Linked DNA regions of Oreochromis niloticus. The protein of the gene in region 1 purifies or fractionates together with the protein of each later gene. This does not show direct contact. Links are inferred from orthologs where the notes say so. Each region holds a gene or a part of one and is shown on either strand. Other genes may lie near its edges.

Region 1 (8,136 bases):
CAGCTCATAAAACCAAAGCCATCAGAGAGACAAGTGCATGCGGGGATTGAACTCACAGCCTTCATATGCCCCGACTCGGGATCCAGCAGCAACACTGTGGCTGACACTGATGGCAAAGTGGAGCCAGCCCCCCTGTTGTAGAAGCACACTAATTTTGTGGACAGGACTCCGTCATTCTCCATGTATGTAGGCATCAGCCCCAGAAACCTAAAAAAGTGAGCGAGTTTCAACCAGCAGTAGCTGCACCCTGTTAATGGTTGATTTGTGCTGAAGCACTCTTGAAGCAGACGGAGGGCCTTACCCGTTGTGTTTCTGCAGGGGCACCGTGGAGCGCACAGGCTGGATAACCTCCACGCTGTCCCGGCTGGAGAACTTACCTAAAGCCTCCTCCAGACGGGGGATCAGCTCTTTGTAATGCAACAGGCTCTCAACTTCACGCTCCCATATGATAACAGGAGGAGCTCCAGCCATGGCTGCTGCTTCTGAGACGCTGATGCGTAACTGACTTAACTGGTTTGGTACAAAGTTTGAGTCAACAGCGAGCGGGATTTGAGCTGCGTTCAAGAGCCGCGGTAAAGCTTTTTTAAACACATTGCGCGGAGAGAGGCGGGCCGCACAGAGAAGGCTGTCTAATCCACTGCGCTTTCCAAGCGCCAGGTTCCCGTAGTCTGTGCTTTGGCACCAGTTTAAGGGGAGAAAGTATTCAAACAAGCCAATCTCAGGTTGATACCCACTTAATCAGTGTTTAAGTGTTGCACTTTCTACGCAAACGATTGTGAAACAATGTCCTGTCTTCAGATTATAACCACTAACGGGGCCAGCTACATGCTGCTTTCACGGCCCCTAGAAGGTTTGGAAGTCCTTTGACTTTCACAGCTGTTAGTATTTGTATGACTCTACTTAGAAATTCGGAATTATGAATTCATTACTTTTAATTGACAATTTACATTCGTGCTTTTGAGATTGTTTCCCGACTGATTATTTATCCCGATGCAAACAAAAAAGAAAAGAAAATTGTAATTAACATTTTGATGTAGTGATCAGTGTAAGAACGTGTTTTATACAGTACTGTACAAAGGTTTTGAGCCAGAAAAAACAAAAACACATGCAAACATATACAGAATTACAGCATATACAGCAAAAACAGTTTGTTAGGTCAGTGTTTGGTATGACCACATTTATTCTTTCAAGGATAGTTTGCCTGTCATTTCTTTAAGTAGTCTTCGAGAATAGTTCTCAAGGCTGCTTGACTTCTGCCATACTGAAGACAGTTTGAACCAAACATTTCAAAGTCATCACTAAATATGACCGGTTTGCCACTGATTTCCAGCCCAGTGCTTCTGTAACCTTCTGTAACCTGGATTCAGTGAAGAATAGATGCATCAATCAGGTCTCTCAAGGACATGATTTTCAGATAGTGCTCATTTGCTATTTTTTTTAAGCCTGACACACATCAGACCATGCAAAGATATGCCCAGTTTTCTGTTACTAACCATTTGGGAATCACTTTGTTTGAACTCATCTTGAAAAAAAAGAAAAAAGAAAAAATGAAAACAAGACCAGGTTTTAAGAAATAACAAAAAGAATTATTTTATTAATAAGTGAGCAGGGCTACTACAAACTCCTGATGAGAAACATCAGTCCCCAAAAAGCAAGAAACAAAACAAAAACAATTAAACATGATTTTTCCCCCTCATGTTTAATCAAACAAAGGACGGGACTATTTAAAACGGTTTTTTCCCCTCAAGGAGTTTTTGTCAGTGAAAGAAAAATCACACAAGCAGTCTCTCAATGGCCATTTGAACAGACTGGATCTGTGGCTTGAGCTGAGACCCCTCTTTTATAGTGACTGAGGTAGCGATAACGGGGCGCGACACCCCACAGGCCCGGCCCAAGGCCTGCTTGGAGCGGACAAACACGTAGGGGACATTCTTGTCCTCGCACAGCAGCGGCAGGTGGAGGATGATCTCCAGTGGTTCCGCATCGGCAGCCATCACGATAAACTCAGCGATGCCTCTGTTCAGGGTTTTAGTGGCTGGGGAAGAAAGAGAACACCTTAAATACAGCAAGTTTGTTCTTGGAAACACAAAAACAATGCTCAGCATATTACAGGTTACACAAAAAAGTGCCCTTCATTACTGCAGCACCGTTATTCTTGATGTGGCCCAAAACAAAAATACAAGTGTCTGTTTAACACATTTTTCACAAGCACTTAGTAATTCATATAATAAATACACTCGACATTGACTAATCATTAGCCTCCACAGGAAGACACAGCTATGGTGTAAGTTAACAATTATCTGTATAAACAATACTAAAAGTTATTTTCCTTCTCGCAGACATCCCATTCATGCAGAAATCAGAGGCTTGTGACTAAAGCTAGTTGTTTTAAGTGAAGAGAAACCACGTTTCAAACATGCTGGTGTCACCTGGCCACTCAAATCCGTTCATTAACAAATTAAATATTCATTTGCACCGACTGTGTCGCACGGCACGTTGTGTTTACCCACCTTCGTTGGCTCCCTTCCTCAGTTGCTTGTAGTTTGAGGCTTGCTGCACCAGATCCAGGATAGTTTTGGTCAGCGTGGCGTCGGCCAGCGGGTAGGCCTTTGGGTTCACTTGTGCTTCAGTCTGTTCACCACACAGAAACAAAGTAACTCCATGTTAGCCAAGAGAAACCAGTTAACGAAAAAAAAAAAGTCACCAGCACTGTTTCTGGTCACTTCTACTGAATTCTACACTTAATTTACTATGCTCGATGGTAGCTAGCTAGCTACTCTGTTAGCTTGTTCGTTTGAGAAGACACTCACCATGGTGTTTTTGTGCTATTCCGGCCCTCTCGGCGAAATGCTTCACGGAGGACTATTTTAATTCGACTGGCTTCTGAAAGATTGACGACACGATGCAAGATGCGATAACCTGTGATGTATTTTATAGCGGTACAACTCTCTAAGCTCCGTCGCATGCAACGACTCCAAACGTTTGCCACACGTGTGGTGTGAGGCGCATGCGCACTGGCAACGCTGGCGAAATCACAGGAAATGCTTTGGGAGAAAAAAATTGTTAATAAATGTGAAAATACAACGAAACAAGTCACTTTCATTTTTTTTACCAAATAAAAGACGACCTGGAAAGGGGTGACATTTTTTTTTATTGAAAAACAAATACGTTTTAAAATAAATACACGGAAATTATTTATTTTCCCTTCACCTGCTCCCTTCAGAGTTCAGCACATCTGCCCTGTGCCAAAATAGTTTAACCTGGCAGCATTCTTTTCTTTCACAGCAACCCTCCGCGTGTGCTTCTTCACTACATCCATGAACATCCTCTGTGGTTTTCATTTTATCCTCCTGCCTGGCAGCTCCATATTCAACATCCTTTTACATCATTTCAGCATCCCCTATCCCTCCTGTGCGCATGTGCAAACCATCTCTAAACACATTCCTTGTCATTTACATACCGATATTACATACACCTCTTTGTATTTATAATAATATTCATATCAGTGCATTTCATAACTTCGGTGCAAACCATCCAGCTGGCTCTGTCTGGTCCAATGAAAAAATATTTTATTTTATTTTATTTTATTTTATTTTATTTTATTTTATTTTATTTTATTTTATTTTATTATTTTCTCTCATCTCCAGGGCAGCAGAGGGCGCGCGGTCACTGGCTAGGCAGACGCACCGTTTACAAGCGAAGAAAGCGCTGAGGATTCTGGGTAGGGCACTTTGAAGCCAGCCATATTGCTTCATCGTCCTGACCCAAGGCAAGAGGGGCGATGAAGGGGATTCGGGGAATCAGTCAGCTATCGGTGAGGACTCGGGCAATGTGTCCTACGTGTCTGTGTGTCGGAACATTTGTACACCGAGTTGTGGGCTGTGTTTGTTAGACGGTGTCTAAATTCCGGGTCGTGTCCGGGCAGGCTGTGATGAGGAGCAGACGAGGAAGCAGTCAGCTAGGTCTTGTCATGAATGACTCCGAGCATAACCAGCAATAACCTGCTAGTTACATCACGAACACCGCGGATTTTAAGTCGTTGTACACCCAGCTTAATACTGTCTATTCCGTTAATTCAAGTAAGGCTTAGAGAAATCAAACTAGTTGACGTCTGAGCGATGAGAGCTAGCTAGGTTCGTGTTTATGAAGGACCTAGCCGTCGAGTTGCTTAACTTACATTTCCATTTTACTATCTAATTATATCTTCCCCTTTCTTATCTGCAATATTGTGCAATTATTGCAGTTTGGATTTAGCAGTAAACATCAATACTTATGTGTGTTTACTGAGTGAGAACCCTGGCAGCCTGAAATGGTAGATTGTAGCTAGTTTTAAAAAGATGTTCTTACTTTTTCACATTTGTCGTTAAAGGGTAGTAATGTTGTTTGGCATCATTCTGTTGGAAGACACCAAGACCCATATAGAGGTTGTTATTACACTTCAGAGTACATTACAATCTTACAAATCCTTGATACTTTCAAAGATAATTTGGAAAAATTGACCTGCAGATTTAAACCTGGTGATATGCTTAAACAAAATGCAGAACAGAGACTTAAGTGGGCCTTGTCATAAGATTATTTTTTCACCTGTATAATTCTAGCTTCATATTTAGTCACAACATTCAGTTCTTTTAGTACAGGCTGCCCTACTAATGCCATTGATCCCATTATTTTAAAGTTCGTGCTCATATCAGCCAACAGGCCAGCAAAACATTAGTTGTAATGTCCTGCCTTCCTGTGTTCTTTGTTTTTCTTTTCCCCAGACAAGGTTTTATGCAGCCCAGGCTGCCCGTAAGGTGGAGGTCACTGGGTTTCATCCACAGGATGTTCAGGTCAGTGGTTATTGACTTCTTTTTCTTCTCTGCAGAAACGCTTCTATGCGGCTGCCAGAAAAGACCAGTCCCTTGCTCAGCCCCTGGCTGGCCTCAGCCTCTCTCCCAGAGTTGGCCATTCCTACCAGGATGTCCACGTATGTCGGGCAGTGATGAGAATTGTAGTATATATTGGTTATGTTTTAAGCTTTATCTGTTTTTTTTCACCTTGCTGAATATAAAATATTAAGTAATCTAACTAAATGCCCACATTGTCTGAGCTGTATAAATAAAAGCCAAGGAAACCAGTTAACTGAATCACTGCCTATAACTCAGGGTACTAACAACGCTAAAGGACATCTCTATATGTCTCCAGGTGACCAGGCTGCCCAGCGGGCTGGTGATCGCTTCACTGGAGAACTATTCTCCAGCCTCCAAAATTGGAGTCTTCATCAAGGCTGGCTGTCGCTATGAAACCCCTGAAAACCAGGGCGTCACCCACCTCCTCCGGCTGGCCTCCGGTCTGGTATGTAACTTAAAAAAAAATAATAATAACATTTAACTTGAAGTAAGCATTGTCCTCATCAACCTTGGTCCTTTGGTGTTGTTGAAAGACAGAAATGAGTAAAGCTGCAGATGCACCAGAATACAAACCAAATCTTTATTCAGTTTTAGGCAAAAATCTTATTTTGATTAGAAATATAACAGTGTTTACATATTAAAAAGCCTGCACAACTGTTGTTAATAAATGGAGCTTAAGATCACTACTTTTGTAACGGTGTGTAACATTGCCGCATTTCAGTCGACATGTTACTTAACTTTTCTGCCTTTTCAGACAACCAAGGGAGCTTCAGCTTTCAAGATATGCCGTGGTATTGAGGCAGTGGGAGGCAGTCTAAGGTCAGTAACTTAGCCAAAAACAAATAAAAGGTTTTTCTTGTAAACAGTCATTTAATTATTTTTAGGTGTCTAATTTGCATATCTGTGTATTCCTGTGCAGCGTGACTTCATCCAGAGAGAATATGACCTACACCGTCGACTGCTTAAGAGATGACGTGTGAGTCTCTGCATGTCACCTTTGTGTGTGATGAGTGTGTTGATGATTGAGCAATAATAATAATAACGTAATGAAAATGTTTAAAGTACTAGGAGATACTTAAAGAACTTTGTCTCTTTCTGTTTACACACTTTTCCATATTTTGGTGAAATGACTACATTCACTGGAACATATGAATGCTCTGAGATGTGATGTTGCAGGAGTGATAACTTTCTTTTCCCCCCCTTCCTCTATTATTGGTCTCTAGTGACACAGTGATGGAGTATTTGATCAATGTGACAACAGCCCCCGAATTCCGTCCGTGGGAGGTGTCAGACCTCACCCCAAAAGTAAAGGTGGACAAGGCACAAGCTGCACAGAGCGCCCAGATAGGTGGGCCCTTTGTTTCTCTTACAACACTCAGTTTTTTTGAAAGATTTTTAAGGGATCTGTTGTTTTATTATAGAACTACTTAATTCATATTCCCACCTTTGAGCCTGATTAATATTTTAAAAAGCTTCTGGGTTGTTCGATTAATCAATAATTAGCCTGTAGAGCCTAGATACCAAACTGTCATATAGGGACAGTAATGTTCTCTCTGTTTTTTCTTCACCATGAGTGCGTTGCAGCTAACAGTCACCCATCCATCTTTTTTAGGTGTGGTTGAAGGTCTGCATGAAGCTGCCTACAAGAACGCCCTGTGTAACTCCTTGTACTGCCCAGACCACATGATCAACAACATCCACTCTGAGCATGTGAGTATATATTTCTGTTTGTATATTATGAGTACAAAACATACAAACTAAAACAATTATGAATTATTGCAATGTTTGCATTTTTCTCCAGCTGCACCAGTTTGTCCAGAACAATTTCACCAGTGCAAGAATGGCCCTTGTTGGACTTGGTAAGTGTTAGGGTTTAAAGTATTTTCCATATAAAGAAAGAAGTAGCCAGATTTCTGATAAACGATAACAATGCTTACCTTTCTACTAGGCGTTGACCACACTGTGCTGAAGCAAGTGGGAGAGCAGTTCCTCAACATCCGCAGTGGAGCCGGCACCACGGGGGCTAAGGCACAGTATCGTGGAGGTGAGGCGAGCTGGCTGAGAGGGGGAAGGAAAAGAAAAAATAAAGGATTTAAGCAAATTTTGAATGAATGATTCCAACCTGAGAAATTGATCGACCTTGCAGACTTCCCTGTCTCATGACCTCGTGCCTCTTTCCAGGTGAGATTCGCCTGCCCAGCACCAGCAGTCTGGTCCATTCAGCCGTGGTGAGCCAGTCAGCAGCAGCAGGCACCAGCGAGGCTCTGGCCTTCAGTGTGCTGCAGCATTTACTGGGAGCTGGGCCGCACGTCAAGAGAGGAGCAGGCGTCGCCAGTAAACTGGTCCAGGGTGTTTCCAAGGCAACAGCAGACCCCTTTGATGTGAGTGCCTTTCAGTTTTGTAAGATAAATTGTAAATAAGCCATACGCCTACAGAGCAGTGTGTCTGCACATTAACCACAAAAACACAATCCAGCTTTATTCTAATTCAGTCTTTGTCTCCCACACCAGGTCACTGCTTTCAATACAAGCTACTCTGACTCTGGCCTGTTTGGGGTCTACACCATCTCTCAGGCTGCAGCTGCTGGTGATGTGAGTATGCCCCCTAGTCTTGAAAATCAATTTTTTTTTTCTTTTCCCCCCAAATGAAACTGCTATTGAGAGCACTGTTTCACTCTTCCCTGCAGGTGATCAAGGCTGCTCTTGCCCAGGTGAAGGCTGTTGCTGACGGTGGAGTCACAGCTGCTGACCTCACTCGAGCAAAGTGAGTCAGACAGACAGAAACGGAATGAGAGAGACCTGAGAGAATGTACCTCTGACATAAAATCTACATTTTCTGCTATTTGGCTATAGAAACGCTAAATAAAAATATGTTAAATTTTCAGGTTTAGGTTAATGAAAGATAAATCTAGTGATAAATAATGCTGATAGATTCATCGGTATATACAGTAATTAAAATTAGCTTCTTTTTTAGTTTTTCAAGGCAGGAAAAATATGAAAGAGGCCAGTGGCCTGTATAAAAGAAAGATGTTACACGTGCATCGGATTGTGTTATGTAATTTTAAAAATCCTTTAAACACGCTGCAGTAGAGAGAAGCATCTCATTTTTACTGGCATTGTATGATTTATCTACCTTCAGGAAGTGAGATCAGGCTTCTCCCACAGCTTGTGATTTCTGTTTTTTGTACAGCTGCCACTTGTTGCCTTTTTTGTGGCGTAATTGTTGATCCAGAGCTAGGAAATGATTT
Region 2 (8,423 bases), on another chromosome or scaffold:
TGTAATATTCGACTCCTCAGACTTTGAGTCACATATAAAATCTATCACACATTCCTGTTACTTTCACTTAAGGAGCATTTTTAAATAGCAAAGTATGGTCCACACCTTTGAACTAAAGAAAATTGTTCATGCATTTGTGTCATCACACCTAGATTATTGTAACACCTTATTTACCGGCTTAGATAAACCATCTCTTTCACATCTGCAAGCGAGCTCGCATTACCCAAATTTTATTCTCTTTATGTTGGTGTCCAGTTGAGTCGAGAATTTGTTTTAAAATTCCCATTTCAGCCTGTGGCACTAAAGCTCTTGAAGAGTTTACCACTCCAGCTCTGTTTACCCAACTCTGTGGATTCCTTTAAAAACAGGTAAAAACTTTCTGTTTAATGAGGCCTTTTGTTGACATTCTTTAGTTATTTATGCTTTTATCTATTTTTATTCTGTTTTAATATGCTTCTCTATTCATTTTAATTTTAACTTTTAAATGTTGTACATCCTTTGTGACTTTTGTCACTAAAAGCATTACATAAATAGACTGTACTTACTCTGTTATTTGCTAGAAAAAAAACAACAACAATAACTTAATAGGCCAATTCTTTATTTGCTACTGTCAAGAGATGTACTCTAAGACACTTCTTCAGCTGAGAATCAGAGAGGAGAAACACAAAGTTTTACTTGCATGCAAGGGCAGCCAAAGAGCACTCACACTTGGAGTGAGGGCTCCGAGACTCGCGCTCTGCCACTGCCCTGGTCTTTATTTATACACAAGAAGAGTAATACGTTTGTTCAGTGGAATGTTGATGCATGAGCATGTGCGGATATGTGTGTGTCTGTGTGTGCGCGCGTGTGTGTGTGCGTATGCGTGTGCCAGGAGAGGCTCCTCTACCTGGTACAAAGTGAAACTGCTTATTAAGCTCTTATCTAGCAGGTACTGCTCCTTCCCTGCATGATAACGGGTCACAGTGAATCAAAACAGTCTGAGTTATAAAGAGGTCATCATGCAGTATTCTATCATATGCAAACTTATATTATTAAAAGATTATACTGACTACAATTTTCTATTGACAGCTACATTACAAAATCGAATCTGTAGGCAATATCCCACAATATTATCAATTATTTCACAGAACCTTTTGGTTTTTCAGGAACAACAGTAATCAGTTTACCAGTATGTAAAAGGAACTAATCCTAACCTTCAGAAAAGTTTGGGATCAAACACCAATGAGCTAAACGGCTGATTCATGACTGAAAATCGTGACTGATTTTGTGGTCTGGACTGACCAATTCATTAAGCTCTAGTTTAGCCCTAGTTGTACACACAAGCTGCTTACCTTCATCAGCATCAACTCTTTTGGGCTAAAGAACGTGATGTGTCCCTCCGTCCTCTGAACCAGCAGCGCCATCAGGCACACCAGCACCACGCAACCAGCCACTGCTCCACGCATGCTCATTTTGCTCTGTCCCCTAGAAACATACACATTGGTACATACAGAGCAGAAAGTTCACACACAATACAGTCTGAAGGTGGCCAAGCGACTCTATTTTGCAGTGGTCGACATCTGGCATGACATGCAGCATGTAACCGAGAGCGGACAAAGAAACACAAGGAATCTCGTGCTTATGTAATACAGAGTTTGGGAAATACATTAGAGATGGGGGGGGGGGCAGAACAACAAACTCCTCCAGAGGCAAGATAGATAAGAGGTTGGAACCATATTTACAACCAGCAAGACAGGTCTGTGCACAAATGTGAGTAGATGAAAACAGAACATCAAAGAGAAAGAGAAATGAGAAAGACCTAGAGGCAGAGAGAGACAGAAGCACAAGAAGCCATGAGTTACTCACATGCTGTGTCAGCGTTGGTTAGTTGCTTGAGGAAGTGTGCTTTAAAATGAGCAGAGCTCCAGTGGTCTGAGTGTCAGCTTGTTGCTGTCAGCCTTTATATCAAGCCCTCTCCTGATCCCTAAGCTTTTTACTGTCCTCCCTCACATCCGCTCCTCAACAAGCTCCTTCAAGCATAGTCCTGGAAACACAAATATTACTCAGGAACGGCTGGCTCATTTTTTTATTTTTTTATTAGGTTAGTATACTCACCTAATCTTCACTGGTACGTATAAATTATAAGATGAATGTATACTGTGCAGTTTTAAAAAAAATCAAAGCAGTCATTTCCTCATTTATTTTTACTCACTTTAGGAAGTAGAATTAACTCATGTATTCATAACACATCCTACAAAAGACAAACTGCAAACTGAAAAGTAAAGTTCAATTTTTACGTGACTTTCGTTTGGGTCACTGAGTTAAATATAGAAGCGGGGGAAAAACAATTACGACAGTCTTTTCAAAGAAGTCAGTCATATATCCTCGGCTCCAAGTAATTATCTAACACATTCTGACATTTATGACCTGCTACTAATTTGTGTTCGCGCACATACAGACCCACATGCATCTGTGCCTTGGAAACCTCATGACTTATTTCCTGCACGGTGGCGAAATGTTACTGCAATTTATTTTTATTTTGTTGTCAGAATACTCAGCAAGAGTGTTTAATTACAAGCATTGCTATTGTTCTGTGTGGTTTATTACATTTTAGGTGCATAGATGGAGCTCTGTATGTCTTCTCTAGCACTTTATATTACACAAGCACTATGACACACAGGTGACTGCTACATTTTTCTAACACCTAGAGTATGTATTTTAAAGTAACATTTAGGGATTTAGAGGCTTCAGGATAAATTATGGAAATTGTATAACCTTTATATTATAATACTAGTAAAGAATATGTATAAACAGTTTAAAATAAACCATGCTGTATATATTCAAATCTACATTTTAAACTTTGGCATACAGAATCAAACACCACAGCAAATGTTTCAAGACATCAATCACTGGGTACTGAATTTGGGATTTTCCCTTTAAAGGGGGAAAATCTCACTTCCAATGCCATGTTTTTACTCTTGGACTCTTGGAGTCACAATTAAAAAATAATCTTTATTCATCTTCTGAAACACATCATTTTACAGCCTTTCTTCAAGCCAGCTTTGCTGTCTGTGAATTCAGACTGAGCCCAAGGGCGCCTCCAGAATTTTTTCATAGGGTTAGCCATGTGGGGGCCACTAAAAATGTTGGGGTGTCACCTCAAAAACAGAATTTTCTAGTTTTATTATGCTGTTGTCAAATATAGGTTACTTGAAAATTATGGCAAAAAAGAGAGAAAGAAAATAATTAACCCAGTTAATTTCCTGCCATTAAAGTTGATATCATTGAAAATACGTACATATGAAACCCATTTTGAAATCCACAATAATTTGTTTTGATTGACTGATTGATCGATTGATTCCAACCTTCACTAATGATTCTCAGCAGAGCTGAGCAGAAGCTGTGGGGGGCCAGCAAATTCAGGGGATGCATTGCAATAACTTTTTTGGAATTACAGTCATTGTTATCTAAAGTCCCCCATTTTCAAAGGATCAAAGGTAACTGGACAGTCCTCTAACAAGCAATTTTCTGCTCCCTTGTTTCATGACAAATAAAGCAGCTGGAAACATTTGGTGTTAATTCAAGTGCTTTTGACAGTTAATCTCAATAAGAGGTCCAAAGAAATGTTGATGCAATTGAAGGAGTTAAAAAAAAACATTCACAAAAACACTTGACTTGGTTAGATGCGGTAACCATGTCATTGTAACAAGTCTATGATCAAGAGAGGTGTTCATGGATGAAAATAACGTGCAAACCACTAGGTACACTCAAGAGCAATGCCATAAAACATATAAAGAACCTGCAAAGTTGAGTAAGTGTTGTAAATGTTGACTAATTAATAAATAAATAAATACCACAATGACAAGAAGAGAAAAATATGGAGAGAAATAGCTAATGATGATTAAAGACGTAATTCTGAAGTGCACAGGCTGGTATTCTGTTCATATTCAGCCAAATACTGCAAAACTGATTAGTCAGCACTTCACAGTGCAAATGTATAATGACCCGAGCGATAATGCAAAAGCAACCAGCGAGCGAGCCATGGCAATGAAATGGGATATTCTTCAATTGCCTATTTATCTGATCCCAACCTAATATAGCATTTTGTTTAGTAATTAAACACAAACCTCAATCCAGAAAGACCCACATACAAGCATCAACCAAAGTGGCAACAGTGCCAGCATAACAGAGCATCTCAAGGAAGAAAAAAGCATGTGGTGATATTTATGGTTTACAGACTTCAGGATAGGATTTTCCTTCAATTAAAAATAAATCATTCTTATTTAAAATAATCCTACTTTGTGCAGTTAGTTTTTAATCTGGGTGGACACTGTATACAAATTACTTTAACTCCTAAACAGTTAATGTAATGCTTTTGTTAAGCGCCTCTAATTAAAACTGAACGCCTGGACTTCAAAATCGCATATTAAGTGTAAGACTTGGAATCCACTGTGGTAGTCTGCAGATGTGGTAGTCTGTATTTTTTTTTAAACTGCAGTCCCTGGCTATAGATATTTAAAACATTTCTCTACCAACAAATACACGTGGCCCAAACACTTTATTGTTTTCGTCTGTTTTGCCCCCTCCGACCTTTTCTCAGTGTGTGAACTGTAAATACACTGCTTCAGAAAAAAAAAACAAAAAATATTTTGGGACGCGTTTACCCACAGTTAGATGAGAACATATATAAGAGCACGAACCTTATATTTTAATATTTGTTTCTTCAGCATAGGAAATTGGGGAAAGGACGCATATTGAAGCTTTCTCGGTCGGGTCTCGCGATGTCAGAGCTGCTACCGCGGGATTTGGGGCGGTGCTGCTGTTTGCTGAAACGCGTGGACGCAGTCTTTTTGCTGAGGTGAAGCAGCACAGCAGACACGAATTGCGTGCTGCCGCAGATTTTCCAATCATGGTAAGCTGAGCGGGGTTGGATATGTTGGCATGACTGCAAATTGTTCGTTAAACTTTACACTTTAAGTTTTTTTGCAGTTAGTTGCGTTTTAAGAGTATAAATGTCTAGTTAGATTTAGTTCACTTCTGTCGAGCTAAAGGCCCTCCGACATTTGGGGAGCAGTTCCGCTAGTGCTGACATTAGCGGGAAAATATATATTTTACTTTAAAGGCTTAAAGTGACAAATGATGTGTCCAGCTGTGTTAGTCGCAGTCGTGCCAGAAGCACTGATATTGACAGTGCTGTAGCAGGTATTGTACTTTTCTAGGGGCCGTGTTAGCACAAGCTAGCTCTTAGCAAGCACGTTATACGCAGGCCTAGGTCGACACGTGGGTTCATCGAGACTGCAACGTGGTTACGTGTGAAAGTTACGACAAAGCAGTGGTAGCTAAACCTGAAGTGGGAAAACACTTTTGAAAAAGCTACTGCACATTTATGCCTAAAATTGCAATCTTATTTTAGGAATTAATCGAAAGTGAAGTTAGCTCGTGTCTCGCTGGTCAGCACGTGGGGACTAGTAAACACTTGATCTGAACGTAGTTTTAGAAACACCTTTCAGTTTCTGCTGGCTGCAAGTGTTACCTGTTTACGTCTGTCGTCTAACTCGATCGTGCACGTTCACCTTCCCTAGGTGTTGCTGCACGTGTTGTTCGAGCACGCGGCGGGCTATGCGCTGTTCGCCGTCAAAGAAGTGGAGGAGATCGGCATGCTGCTGCCCCAGGTGCGTCCTCTTCCCTAACTCCTGTGTACTATCTGTTTTGTGTGCTCTTTAAGCAGAGCACTGATAATTGTGCTTTTGTGTCGTGTCAGGTGGAGGCGAGCGTGCTGAGCCTCGGAAAGTTTAACAGCATGGTGAGCTTAGCCGCCTTCTTCCCCTTCAAGTCGGCCCAGGCCGCCCTGGAGAACATGAACGCCATCTCTGAAGGTATGTATGATTATCATTTTTCTCTTTATCAATCTTGTGTGGAAAAGTCCTCAGCTGTAATGATGTTTTATAATCTGTCAATCCACTGAGTTCTTGTGCTGACAGTTTCATATCAACCCTGAACACCTGAGGAAAGACTTTACATGGACAGCCGAAATTGTAGATTTTGATTTGTTCTTTTATCTGTAATAATTGTTAATGAGACTACTTTAATTATGTTCAATTTGTTCTGAGATGGCAAGATTGCATGATGGCAAATTATCGGGCTTTAATATGATAATATCACAATAGTCAGTGTCGTATCTTTTAGATGCCTTTCCATCTCAACCACGTGTCTACAGATGTAATTACATTCTTCCATCCCTTGAAGGTATGGTTCATGCTGACCTGAAGCTGTTCCTAGAGACCAATCTGCCCCAGTCTGGGAAGAAAAAATCAGTGTTGGGGGTTTCTGATGCCAAGATTGGAGCAGCGTTACAAGAAGAACTTAGCAGTTCAATCCAAACTGGAGGGGTGGTGGCTGAGATCACACGAGGTGAGAATGTTTACCTGAGAGTTATTACAAAATATGCAAAACGATACTGTGTCTATATAATAATGTGGACTGTTGTGATGTGAACTTGTGATCCTGAAACTCATGAAGGTTCATACTGAAAATCTGAACAGCCGTTGGATCTGCACTTTTCTGTTCGTGTTCTTCTTAACACTCAGCAAACCTTCTCAATCTGTCCTGTCCCGTCAGGTTTGCGTCTGCACTTCCACTCTCTGGTGAAAGGTCTGACTGCCCTGGCTGCCTCCAAGGCACAGTTGGGTCTTGGCCACAGCTACTCCAGAGCTAAAGTCAAGTTTAATGTCAACAGGGTAGATAACATGATCATCCAGTCCATTGCTCTGTTGGATCAGCTGGACAAAGACATCAACACCTTCTCCATGCGTGTCCGGTAGGAAATTTTCATCACACAGTAAAAGGACTGGTTTTTGCATAAAATTAAACAGTTTAGGGAACATGTTAACCTTTCATGCTGTTCATCTTTTACTCTTTTAATCTCTTCTCTAGTTTTATGGCTTTTCTGGTGACAGATTTGCATCAGGCTTTTTGTAGTTCAGGGTACATTTTGGGGCATCCTCCTAATGCTTACCACAGACAGCACACCTCAGAGTGCTGACTGTATAGAAACAGGAGGTAGATCAGTTACTCCCAACACTTCTGCTCTGCCAGCTGCTATCTGGTGAGGCAACACTGTTGGGTGGAACATCATGTATATTTACTAGCTCAGCATCTTGTAGCTGTTTGGGGTGTCGTGGCGCATGCATTCATTTTGGTGTGAAGTGTCCTGGTGCAAACTGTCAGAGTGCAAGATCATCTAGAACATTTAGGCATCAGTTATTGTCAGCTGTAGCATTCAAGTCTTAAAAGCTCCAGGCTTGTCCTACCGATACAGGACTCTGTGAATAGAATTGGATATCTTGAGAGAAAGAGAAGCTGTAATTTTGAAAGTGATATTTTTCAGCAGTCTTGAACTTAATTAAAAATTGTGCCATCTTAATGGGTAGTTCTGTTTTGTGCTTGAGCATAAAAGCCTCGGTTATTGGGTTTGTTTTATAATAGTTGTTTTTTTTGTTTTTTTTGTAAATGTGCAGCCTTTAAATGCTTACTCCAAAAACCCTGCACTCAAAGTTTTAACAACCTCTTGTTTATCTACAGTGAATGGTATGGCTACCACTTTCCGGAGCTCATCAAAATTGTGTCCGACAACTCGATGTACTGCCGCCTGGCTCAGCTCATTGGAAACAGGAAGGAGTTGTCAGAGGAGAGCCTAGAAAGTTTAGAGGAGGTGGTGATGGACAGTGCCAAGGCTCAGGCCATCCTGGATGCATCACGCTCCTCTATGGGTGAGTACACCGGACATTCAGAGTATGTGCTGCATAATTTCACAAAAACACATCCTGCTTGGGTCAAAGATAATTTCATCCACTTCATGCCATATTTTGAATCTGGTTCATTCACATACTCTACGCTTCGAGACTTAAGTCCCAACTCCACATTGTGCCCCTTTTTTGCCCACTCTGGACTACAAGTGTCCTTGGTGTCTAACACAGGGGGGTAGAGTAGTTCTCTCATAAACCTGTAGTGAAGGCATGCATCCTCACTGCGGATCCTGTCGGGAGAAACAATCTCACATTTCATGCCATGTACTGGTTTAAAATGTCACAAATGCAGCACCTGCTAAAGATACAATGCTGATCCATCCTCTGGTTGTTTGGTCTTCAGGTATGGATATATCTCCCATTGACCTGATTAACATCGAGAGGTTTTCGAGTCGTGTCGTGTCTCTGGCTGCCTACCGGCTGGAGCTGCAGGAGTATCTGCGCTCTAAGATGAGCCAAGTGGCTCCAAACCTGGCAGCCTTGATTGGAGAAGTGGTGAGTCTTAGTTTTATTTTAAGTTTTATTTTTAACCCGGACCAATGATGTTCTACCAAAATCTGTCAATCCACTGAGCCAGTTTGATGAAAAATGTATTCGGTGCTGATGGTCCTCATACTGTGTTGTGCATCCAGTGTCAAA

The links.
Region 2: the proteins of NHP2-like protein 1 (region 1) and nop56 fractionate together in Homo sapiens (co-fractionation; 3 studies listed by BioGRID, with this or other methods). This does not show direct contact. The link is inferred for Oreochromis niloticus from reciprocal best matches to the Homo sapiens genes SNU13 and NOP56.

Annotation. Positions count from the first base shown.
Region 1 is NC_031973.2:20,519,565-20,527,700, reverse strand, and holds NHP2-like protein 1, read right to left. Parts: upstream 3,042-8,136; 5' UTR 2,814-3,041; coding exon 2,811-2,813; intron 2,632-2,810; coding exon 2,511-2,631; intron 2,036-2,510; coding exon 1,773-2,035; 3' UTR 1,565-1,772; downstream 1-1,564. Other genes in the region: crym (ketimine reductase mu-crystallin), read right to left, coding at 57-207, 302-471; uqcrc2b (cytochrome b-c1 complex subunit 2, mitochondrial), read left to right, coding at 3,782-3,814, 4,865-4,966, 5,185-5,334, 5,644-5,708, 5,809-5,865, 6,113-6,237, 6,502-6,599, 6,691-6,748 and 4 more.
Region 2 is NC_031970.2:28,334,465-28,342,887, forward strand, and holds the start of nop56 (nucleolar protein 56), read left to right. Parts: upstream 1-4,765; 5' UTR 4,766-4,888; coding exon 4,889-4,891; intron 4,892-5,561; coding exon 5,562-5,651; intron 5,652-5,740; coding exon 5,741-5,855; intron 5,856-6,225; coding exon 6,226-6,390; intron 6,391-6,597; coding exon 6,598-6,796; intron 6,797-6,977; exon of another isoform or gene 6,978-7,113; intron 7,114-7,560; coding exon 7,561-7,748; intron 7,749-7,913; exon of another isoform or gene 7,914-8,032; intron 8,033-8,127; coding exon 8,128-8,279; intron 8,280-8,423. UniProt on the Homo sapiens protein: Involved in the early to middle stages of 60S ribosomal subunit biogenesis. Required for the biogenesis of box C/D snoRNAs such U3, U8 and U14 snoRNAs. Part of the small subunit (SSU) processome, first precursor of the small eukaryotic ribosomal subunit.